Linked DNA regions of Cricetulus griseus. The protein of the gene in region 3 purifies or fractionates together with the protein of the main gene of each other region. This does not show direct contact. Links are inferred from orthologs where the notes say so. Each region holds a gene or a part of one and is shown on either strand. Other genes may lie near its edges. The genes, in order: Diaph1, Myl6b and Iqgap1.

The links.
Region 1: the proteins of Iqgap1 (region 3) and Diaph1 purify together in Homo sapiens (affinity purification with western blotting; 3 studies listed by BioGRID and IntAct, with this or other methods). This does not show direct contact. The link is inferred for Cricetulus griseus from reciprocal best matches to the Homo sapiens genes IQGAP1 and DIAPH1.
Region 2: the proteins of Iqgap1 (region 3) and Myl6b purify together in Homo sapiens (affinity purification with mass spectrometry; 3 studies listed by BioGRID and IntAct, with this or other methods). This does not show direct contact. The link is inferred for Cricetulus griseus from reciprocal best matches to the Homo sapiens genes IQGAP1 and MYL6B.

The regions. Positions count from the first base shown.
Region 1 is NC_048595.1:199,706,881-199,710,632, reverse strand, and holds the start of Diaph1 (protein diaphanous homolog 1), read right to left. Parts: upstream 2,311-3,752; coding exon 2,194-2,310; intron 1-2,193. UniProt on the Homo sapiens protein: Actin nucleation and elongation factor required for the assembly of F-actin structures, such as actin cables and stress fibers. Binds to the barbed end of the actin filament and slows down actin polymerization and depolymerization.
Region 2 is NW_023276806.1:129,401,158-129,403,933, reverse strand, and holds the end of Myl6b (myosin light chain 6B), read right to left. Parts: intron 2,576-2,776; exon of another isoform or gene 2,476-2,575; intron 1,536-2,475; coding exon 1,362-1,535; intron 976-1,361; coding exon 898-975; intron 788-897; coding exon 759-787; 3' UTR 502-758; downstream 1-501. Other genes in the region: Myl6 (myosin light polypeptide 6), read right to left, coding at 164-166. UniProt on the Homo sapiens protein: Regulatory light chain of myosin. Does not bind calcium.
Region 3 is NC_048596.1:116,873,679-116,877,330, reverse strand, and holds part of Iqgap1 (ras GTPase-activating-like protein IQGAP1), read right to left. Parts: intron 3,431-3,652; coding exon 3,328-3,430; intron 2,731-3,327; coding exon 2,595-2,730; intron 2,274-2,594; coding exon 2,186-2,273; intron 492-2,185; coding exon 279-491; intron 1-278. UniProt on the Homo sapiens protein: Plays a crucial role in regulating the dynamics and assembly of the actin cytoskeleton.

The DNA.
Region 1 (3,752 bases), on a different chromosome or scaffold from region 3:
TCTTAGCCAGTAGTTCAAGAAAACTGAGCCCTGGGTGACAAAAGCACCCCAGCAATCTCACCCACTCCACCCACTCACACACACTTATATATACAGAGACAAAGAGAAGTGGATTGCAATGCTCCTTGTCTCTCATTTTCATAGTTCTCATAAAAAGCAGTAAGAATATCCTGATGCCTTAAGGTAGATTATATTTAGCAATTAGGATGTGAAGAAGCCTGCTTCCCTGGAAACCTTCCAATCCTCACTACTTGCAATACCCAGTTCTTAAAATTCAGTAATGTAAGGGTTAAAACCAGAACCTCAGTAAAAGAGAAGTAGGTTCAGCTCCACCCTCTATAAAGCAAATTATCAACAACTCTGGGCCAAATCCACTCAGCGAACACAAAACTGTGCCAAAAAAACAGGTGGAAAGAAGTTGAGGTTCCTGGGATTTCTCACCTAACCACACACACCAGTAGATTTCACCAATTTTATGAGACACGGTATTAGAAAAAATAAAAAAGCACACATGAAACTTTAAAAAGAAACAGTAATAAGAGGTCACTACAAATCAGCAAAAATAGCCAGTATGGACGAAGGTCAAACAGTATCCATGGTAACAAAATCAAAACAAAAAGACACGGAAATAGAATACAGGCCCTAAAACTTACATTTTGGAAGGAAAGTTCTCAAACTGGAGGGTCAATTCCTACCTTTAAAGAAAGAACCTAAGGATATATTGCTGTGGTCACCTAGGATCCTATTTCTACAAAGGTATTTGCCAGATCAAACAGTTACTGACACCCTGTATGTCACTAGAAAGGACAGAACAGGAGCACCTGGTCTTGCCAGAAATAGGAAGAGATGAGTCAGTCACTCTTTTAATTCAACCCTCCAGGTCACAAAACATATTCTTCCCACTTCCATCACTTCATCAGTTTAATTCCCAAACTCGGGGACTTGGATCAGAATGCTGGGGGTGGGGGTGCGTGAAAGAAAGCAAGAGTTAAGAAGAATTCAAGCCATTTAGCTTCAGAGATTACTGGTGCTACCTGGAAGAGCAAACTAAGTATCTAGTTATTAACTGGCAACAACTGAGCAGAAACTCCCTTTTTGACTGCTCAGTATCTTTCAAAGTTTTTACAGGAAGAAGCAAAGTAGCTCCCTGGAGACAGAAGAGGATTTAGTTAGGAAAGGCAACAGGTAGTAAAATACCGCGTTACATGAACCTCGAAAGTCCCAATAACCGGCACCTAAGGAAAGATACATACTCTCCTACAGATAGGAAAGGGGATGTCAGGAACCTAGAGACACAGAAGATGGCCAAAGGCGAGTTAAGGAGATGGTTGTTATTTTTTAAAAGTATAAAAAGCAAATTACTCACAAACTTATTGGACTTGAAGTCTAACTCGTTCAAGAGGGAGATTAATCATCATCTCGGGTCATGAAGGGCATAGTATCGTGAAAAAAAGTTCTAAACCTCTGAAGTGATAAGCAACAGGGCAGTAAGAAACAGGTTTGTGGATAGGGAAATACTGGGAAGTCATATACTGCCATGCCCCAGTGACCACAGGACCTGGGCAGAACCCGTAATCACAAGGACAAACGTCCAAAGGAGGAGGGAAGACAGGACTCAAGTCAGGTAACATTCCTGCGGGGAAGCATTACCAGGTGACACCGGGCTGAGAGCCCTGGAAGGGGACAGGGCGGGAGGAAAGTTAGCAGGTGAAAGGGATCACTAGTAAGGAAGGAAATGACCTTTTAGAAGAAAGGGAATAACCCAAACGGGGTGTGAGTGAGAAGAGAAAATGGACCCAAAACAGCTTACAGGGAATCAAAAAGAAAAAAAAAAAAAGAAAAGAAATTTAGAGAAAAAAAAAAAGATGTGTGGGGGTACTAGAGGCAGAAGAAAGGAAGTGAGGCTGCGAGCCCGCGGGCCACGGGGGCGGGAGCGCAGAGCCGGCGGACTCCAGAGCGAGGGAAGCTCCAAGGTGGCCGAGGCGAGGGCCAGGTGGGACTCCCGGGCTTCCCGAGGTCCGGGAGGAGGAGAATGTGGGACCGCGAAGCCCAGGATTCAGCGAAACCAGGAAGAGAGGCGCGGGGGCGGCTCCCCAGCGGCAGGCAGACGCCCCCGGAGGGCAGCGAGGGTCGCCCGAGTTCAGAGGGCGGCCACCCCGCCAGGCTGAGGAGCAGGGTGGGAGGGACACTCACAAATTTCTTGGGTTTGCCGCCGTCGCCGCCCGTCGCGGGCAGCTCATCCGGGCTCCGACCCTTCTTCTTGTCCCGGGTCCCGCGGCCGGGCCCCAGGCCCCCGCCGGACGGCTCCATGTTCTGGTTAGCTCCGGCCAGGGACCCCTGGTCTACGCCACTCGCGCCCGGCTAGCCCGAGCCAGCAACCACCGCCGCCGCCCAGCAGCCTTCTTAGCCGGCCGCCGCGCCCCGCCTCATTAACATGCTGGGCTGCGCGCGCCTCATGAATATACAACGGTGACGCCTCGCTCCCGCCCGCCTGCCCCACTTCCGCCCGGACCCGCAGCCCCTACCAATGGGGCAGGGGAGGGGGGTGGAGGGACGCCGCGGAAGCGCGCTACCTGCCCGGCGGGCCTAACCATTCGGACCCACGTGGAGGGGGGGACGGAGAGTGGGCGGTGCTGCTCTTCCACACCGCAGCGGGGAGTGCTGCCCCCTGGCGGTTGGAACAGAGGAAGCCTTTGGGCTCCCACGCAGAGCTAGACCACCTCACACCCCAGGCCGAATTTCATTGTCTGAACCAAGACTCTTATCGTAGGAACACTGTTATTTTGGTTGAAAATTTAAGGCTAAGTTTTGTGGGATAATGCAACTTGTATGTATATGACACCAAGCAGTAAGTGCATTAAAAAATAATGTAAAAAATGAGTTACTTGATATAGAAACTATGTGCCAAGAACTGAGTTCAAGCCAGCGCCAATCTAGACCAGCTATGGAGTTACAATACTCAGCATTGAATCCTAGATTAGCTTTCTAGTTGTTTATGTAGACAGACTAATTATTGCCAATAGCCTAAGCAGCAATTAAATAGTTACTACATACCCAGCACAAACTATAGGACAGGTTATATGTTAAACATAACATCTTTCCTCACTGATTCCTCACAATTTCATGATAGACTCTACTGGTATCACCATTTAAGAAATTTGCACTCTGGACATTGAAGTGACTTGTAACATAATTGATAGAAAATTTACACACAGATTAATCTGACAGCCACACCATATTTTTAACCAAGATTCCCCCACAGGCATAAACCAAACGTGCCTGCATGAGTTCTCTGGTTATGGTCTTTACATGATCTCTCTCATTCTCCTGGCTATATCTACCTGACATGGCATCTTTAGAGAGGGACTGACTACCCCTTAAGAGTAAAGAAAAGGATTTCAAGTGTATATTCCCGAGTGTTGGGCCCCAGCCCCCATGGGGTCTCTGTGAGTTGCTTGTCAGCCAATAACCACAGGTACATCCTGTTTTCTAGTCCTGGCCTTGCCCTACTGGCATCAACCACACCTGGGAAAACATGAGCTCTTACACCTTGGGTTCTTCCACTGTGCTGTACATCTGTATATAAGGCTGTTCCCTCCCTGTAATAAAGAGACACACACACACATTCTCTTAGCACAAACGACTAGACATCTTGTCTTTCATTTAAATCTCCAGGCTTTTGGCTGATAATTTGACTTGCTGGTGGTGCAGGAGCCACACCTAACGACAGGTTCAGTAACTTTTTGAAATCT
Region 2 (2,776 bases), on a different chromosome or scaffold from region 3:
AAGTCTATCCCGGCCTTACAAACTGAACCACAACTCCCGTTTTTGCAGCTGAGGCAGAGGGAGCCCTAGGCCTCCCACCCCCGCGTCCGAGCTTGCCCGCACCCACCCACGGGCTCCCCTCCTCTCCCCACAGCCCCCTAAGCTCCCGATGCCCGGGACCCACCATCTTGGCCGCTCAGCTCTGCGGGACTTTCTCCGGCAGTAATGGCTCCGACTCCCGACCCAGCCCTAGCCTTAGCACGTCCCAGGGCGTATGACGTCACCGTCTGCCGCTCCGTCCAATAGGGATGCTAGTCGGGGCCCATGTCGATGACGCCACTACATTAGTAACGCGGCGAGCGGCCCCGCCCTCGGTTCAGAAACCGCCGCGGGGCTGCGACTCGCTGGATGCCACTCTTCCGAGCTGCGCAAAGAGCAGCGAATCTGGGCTTTTTGGCCGAAGACAGGACTAACCCACCTCCCTCCCTCCCCTTCCTCCACAGAAAACAGTCGGAGACCAAAGCAGGAGCCAGGTCTTTATTTCAAAGCTCTAAGGGCCGCCTAGTGGCAGGAACGCGCCTCCGGCCGCCCGGAAGGTGGGGCGATCCAGCATCCGACCCCGCTGGACTGCTTGGGGAGGAGAAAGTTGTCCAGCCCCGGCGCTCGCGCTGCGGACGGACGGACCGACGGGAAATCGCACTGCCTGGTCGTCTATCTGGTTGGTCGAGGAGCCTTTCCTCTCAGGGCGACACTAGGGGCTGGAGGACTACCTGTGGAGCTCACAGGCTTAGGATGTGCTTCAGGAAGGCTGCACGGGAGGAGGCGAGAGGACTTGAGACTGACTGAAGGGCAATCCGTGGAACTTTAGGTAACCGAGGGTGCACCCACCCACACAAAGGTCTGCTCGTGCCCCCTCACCCTCATAGTTGATGCAGCCATTGCTGTCCTCGTGGCCTGCTAGGACAGTCTCCACCTCCTCCTCAGTCATCTTCTCTCCTGAACCCCAAACACAGTTAGAGCTCCTGCCTCACTAGCCCGAGCCCCCCTCCCACCCTGCCCTTTTCTCTCCATGTGGCCCACATCAGCCTTGCCTTGCAACTGGTGAAAGCTTTGACAGACCACGAAACAAAAGCAAGAGTTGAAACTTGCAGGGAATCAGCACAAGTCTGGCTTGCAAAAGGGGACATGAGGCTGCCAACCTCATTCCCTCTTCTCTGCTCCTTGCTGGACACTGTAGCCTCTGGATGAGCGAGCCCCTCAGAATTCTGCCTCCTCAACTCAGTCCCCCTAAGTCCCTGCCCATGATTGCAGGACTGCACTCCCATTCCAGGCGTTGTGGTCCCACCCCCTTCTCCATCCCACAGTTCTGGTCCCTGCCTCACCGAGAGTGGTAAGAACATGTCTGAGCTCTGCTCCCATGACTTTGCCATTGCCCTCTTTGTCAAACACGCGAAGCCCCTCTAGGTAGTCCTCATATGTGCCTTGGTCCCGGTTCTTGGCTACTGCTTGGAGCATGGGCAGGAACGTCTCAAAGTCCACACGTCGGGACTTGAGCTCTGGAGATTAAAAAGAGGTGAGAGGCCAGGCAGTGGTGGCGCATGCCTTTAATCCCAGCACTCCGGAGGCAGAGGCAGGCGGATCCCTGTGAGTTCAAGGCCAGCCTGGTCTAAAGAGTTCCAGGAAAGACTCCATAACTACACAGAGAAACCCTGTCTCAAAAAAAAAAAAAAAAAAAAAAAAAAAAAAAGTGAGGTCATTGAGATGTAGGGTCCAGTTGCATCCATTCCTGCCATAGTGATTTTTTATCCCTTCAGCATTCAGGATGTTTTCCTGCCCTGTGTTCAACAGCTTTTGAAGTTCTGAGGTCCATCCCAGCATCCTTCATCACCTTACCAATATTCTGTCATGGAAAACTGATACTGCAGTGAGGCATAACAGCCAGGCAGATTTAAGGCCAGCCAGAACAATTTAGTAAGACTTCATCTCAACAGGAAAATAAAAAAGGAAGCGCTGGGGATGTAGTGAAGTGGTAATGACACATTCGAGACAGAGAAAACTGCTAAGCCATGAGTGGTGGCTCACATCTTCAGTCCCAGCAGTCAGAGGCAGAGGCCGGCAGATGTCTGTGAGTTTGAGGCCAGCCTGGTCTATGTATTGAGTCCCAGGACAGCCAACGTTGTTAGAGCTGCTAGGATAGAGCTGTAGGTTCAAGGGCAGCAGATGCCAGAGTGAAGTCAAGGCTGTCCCCCAAGAAACTTAGTGAGTGTCTCAGAGAGTAAAAGAGCAAGGCTCAGCAATAAAGGGCTTGCCCGTCTTCCACAGGCACCAGATTCCACTCCAGCACCACACAAACTGGAGTGATCCCAGCACTCTGTGGTAGGCAGAAGTAGTCAGGAGGTAGAGGATCGGAATTTAAGGTCATTCTTGGCTAGCATACTGAGACCCTTGTTGTGGGGAGGCGCGAAGAAAGTTACAGGCTGGAAATGGAGCTCAGTTGTGCTTCAGCAGCACATCTACTAAAATGGGAACAATGCCAAGATTAGCATGATCCCAGCACAAGGATGACACACGAATTTGTGAAGTGTTCCATATTAAAAAAAAAAAAAAAGGAAGAAAAGGCCAAGCGGAGCTGGGCGTTGGTGGCTCACACCTTTAATCCCAGCACTCAGGAGGCAGAGGCAGGCGGATCTCTCTGAGTTCGAGACCAGCCTGGTCTACAAGAGCTAGTTCCAGGACAGTCTCCAAAGCCACAGAGAAACCCTGTCTCGAAAAAACCAAAAAAAAAAAAAAAAAAAAA
Region 3 (3,652 bases):
TTATCCCAGTGAAATTAGAACCCTGGTTTGGGTGATTCACACAAACTTTACCAACTTTATATATTCCATAGCAATTATGAAAAAGCCCTGAAGGATTCTTTAAAGGCAATGAAAAACTCAAGACACTGGAAGCTCTACTGAAGTCCTGATGTCAGAGTCAGACTGTACTATTCTGCATACGAGAAGCTATGCTGTGGCCTGAGTGGCTACTGTCTGTTCATGAGCTCCTGATGCGGCTGTAAACAAGGCCGGGCCACCACTGTTCCCACATGCAGTACCTTGGCAATGTCGTTGATGAGTTCCTGGTATTTGTTCTTTGGGTCCACGGTCCCAAGCTCTGTTAGCTTCTTTAGGCCAGTCTGAATTTTCTCTTTCTTCTCCTGAAGGCTGAGGTTGTTATCCTCCTTCACAGGTTTTGTCTTTTTCATCTTGTCGGGGGTTTTGGCGTCCCGGATAGCCCGTCTCTGCATGGCCCTCTGATGTTCGGCTTCCTACAGATGAAAAGAAAAATACTTTTTGGTAAGTTCACCACAGGAGCCCTAAACCTGGACTCACAGCATATCTGCAATTGAATACAGAGTTCTCCAAGTCTGCTGTAAATGTCTTCTCTCTACCAGACAAGGAACAGCATCAAAGTGAGATACCTCATTTCACCTAGCAAAGTACAACTGTGAATCCAGATGCTGTGCTTTCTTGATACTAGGTGTAGCCAGAAAACTAGATTCTATGAGCTAAGAAATCCTTTACCTTTTCCCAGCTTAATTTAGGATGTTGAAGTCAAAATGTGGCTCATAACTACACAAATTAACACCAATAGCAGTGCCCAGTGAAATCTTGCTAATGCTCCTGACACACTGCCTGAGCTGGAGCAGGCTCCTGCTGCCCTCTGCTCCCAAGCACACTGCAAATACTGTCATATCAAGGAACCTTCCTTAGACTCTGCTGTCTTTCCTTACCCTTTCCCTTACTTTTTAAGAAAAAACAACCAAGACAAGGTCTTGCCAGATAGCCCAGGCTGGCCTTGAACTTGGTAATCTTCCTGCCTCAACTGAGCAGAGATTGAGTACTGCCAAGCCCAACTGATCATTCTGTAACAACTTCATCGTCTTTTCTGACTTTGGCATCCACGGCTATCATCCATGGCTGTCATCACCATCTCCTCACCCCAGTCTGAGCTCTAGAGTTTTAGATAATTCCACCCTCAGCTTTGCTTTTCTCATAACTACCCCGCCCATCTTCACCCCAGATCTCACTGTGTTCTTCCCTCCTTGGTCCCATTATTCCTGTGGGCTCTCTTCCCCAGAATTTGCTCTTTTGTTTTCCATCACACCCAGATCCTCCCAGTCTTTAAGTGTGGCTTGGGTTCTGTTTCTTTTGTTGTGACTTCCTGATACACTGTTCCTCACTGGCCTCCACCTCAAAAACTGTGGGGTTTTTTGTTGTTGTTGTTGTGTTTCTGTTTATTTTGAGATAGAGTCTCACTGGCTGGCCTGGAACTAGCTATGTTGACCAGGCAGGCCTTGAAATCACAGATATCTTTGGGATCAAAGGCATGCCCACCATAGCCAGAAACTTCTGGAATCTTTTTTGACTTTTGTTTTATGTGCATTGGTGTTCTGCCTGCATATATTCCTGTGTGAGGGTGTCAGATCTTGGAGTTACAGACAGTTGTGAACTGCCATGTGGGTGCTGGGAACTGAACCGAGTCCTCTGGAAGAATAATCAGTGCTCTTAACCACTAAGCCATGTCTCCAGTTCCCTGGCATTTTTATAATCAATACTATAGCTAATTTCTAATGGTCTTATGGTTTCAGATGCATGTATCATAATTTTTCTAAATGGACCTTAAAGTTTGGAGCCACACCCTGTACTTTTATAGACACAACCAAGGTACTTCATATAATTACAACTATAAGACAGTCATTAAATTACTACATAGACAACATGTTCTGTCCCAGATTAAATTCTCATCTATCCTGTATTCTCTATCTCATGTTTCATCCTAAGAACACCTTCTGGATTTAGGAGCCACCAACTTTCTCAGTCAGATGAGCCCTGTTTACTACTGTTCCATAGCCAGATCCATGCTCACCCAAGGGTCCAATCCCTTCCCTGTGCCCCTATCCCCACCCAGGGATGCACCTATCATAGAAAAGCTTATCCAGTGTGAAACCTTCATGTGTACCTGTTCACTGGTGGCTGGTGTCTCCAGGATTTCAGTCAAGGTGTCTCCTGGCTGGAACCGGATGACATCCACAATTAAACGTTTTGTGCTGCAATGAGATGGGAATGGGTTTGAACATGGCTGTGTGTTCTACCTCCTTGTCATAGGATCTGAGCAGTATCTGAAGCATCGTCACCCCACAGCGCCTTGCTACAGCACCCAGAGGGACAGTTACTGGCACAAGGAGCAAGGGAACTATAGCAGGTGGTACAGGGGAGGAGTTCCAAGACTGTAATTGTATGTTAGCAAAGTAAGTCCTGTGCCAAGCACGATGCAGGGTGATGAGCACTGTGACGGGCAAGAGAGGCCAGGATGGTTGTTCCAGGTGAACTGGATTCTAAGCCGCTTCCTTCTCCCTTTCAATACTCACTTCAGTAAGATGGCCCGAGCATCCATCTCTGCATTCTCGTCACCAGGCACATCAAACTTGTTGGTCAACGTGAGAGATACTTCTGTCTTAGCCAGTGCCTCCTTGTTGGGGTCATTTAAATTGCCACAACTTTCCCCTGCAGTTTTTGAAGTGTAGAAAGAGTCAATGTAATAAAAAAACACTTTGGAGGGAAAATAATTCAAATAAATACAATGCAGGTCAGTATGACTCTTGATAAACCAATGCCCTTCAGTGTGATGAGCAGTTGTTACTGAGAAGTAAAGGAAACTGAGGCAAATGGTTGAGGAGAAGGGTCCATAACACAGTAACTTCATAAAAGTGTGAAAAACTCGTTTCACTGGGCACGGTGGTGCACACCTCTAATCCCAGCCTTCAGGAGGCCAAGAGAGGTAGATCTTTGGGAGTGTGAAGCCAGCCTGGTCTTATCGAGTTCCAAGCTAGACAGGACTACAAAGTGAGACCCTGTCTCAAAAAATTGTCAACAATCTAACTATAAGACTTACTTTCTGATTATCTGTATTACTTTTGTCTCTGTATTTAAAAGTATCTGCTATTTCACTGGACTCAGGTGCTCATAAGGTGGGGCCTATATTAGTTTTGTTCCCCACTGTGTATCTAGACTCTGATATGGCGCAAGATCAGAGAGACAATGATACTAAATCCCCTGATGCGGTCCCCTCTCAGCTTTTCAGAGGCTCATTAAGAACATTACCTATCAGGGACTCGATGGTGGGCACCTCGCCAAGGTCATCCAGCAGCTCGTGGATGGGGTCGTTGTGCTCTGGAGCAATGGCGTCCTGATGGTCCAACAGGAGCTGTAAAGAGATCCAGTGACTGACCTGCATCCCTCCATCTCCACCCGCAAGGCCAACAGGTATCTTCACAAAAGGGGCTGAACAACAAAGCCACCACATCCGAAGCACAAACAAGCTAACCTAGTAAACAGCACAAGGGACCAGGCAGCACACTGGACTTCATGGAACAGTGTACATTGTAAAACACCAGGGAATCCAGGCCTGGCACCCTCCAGCTCCTGG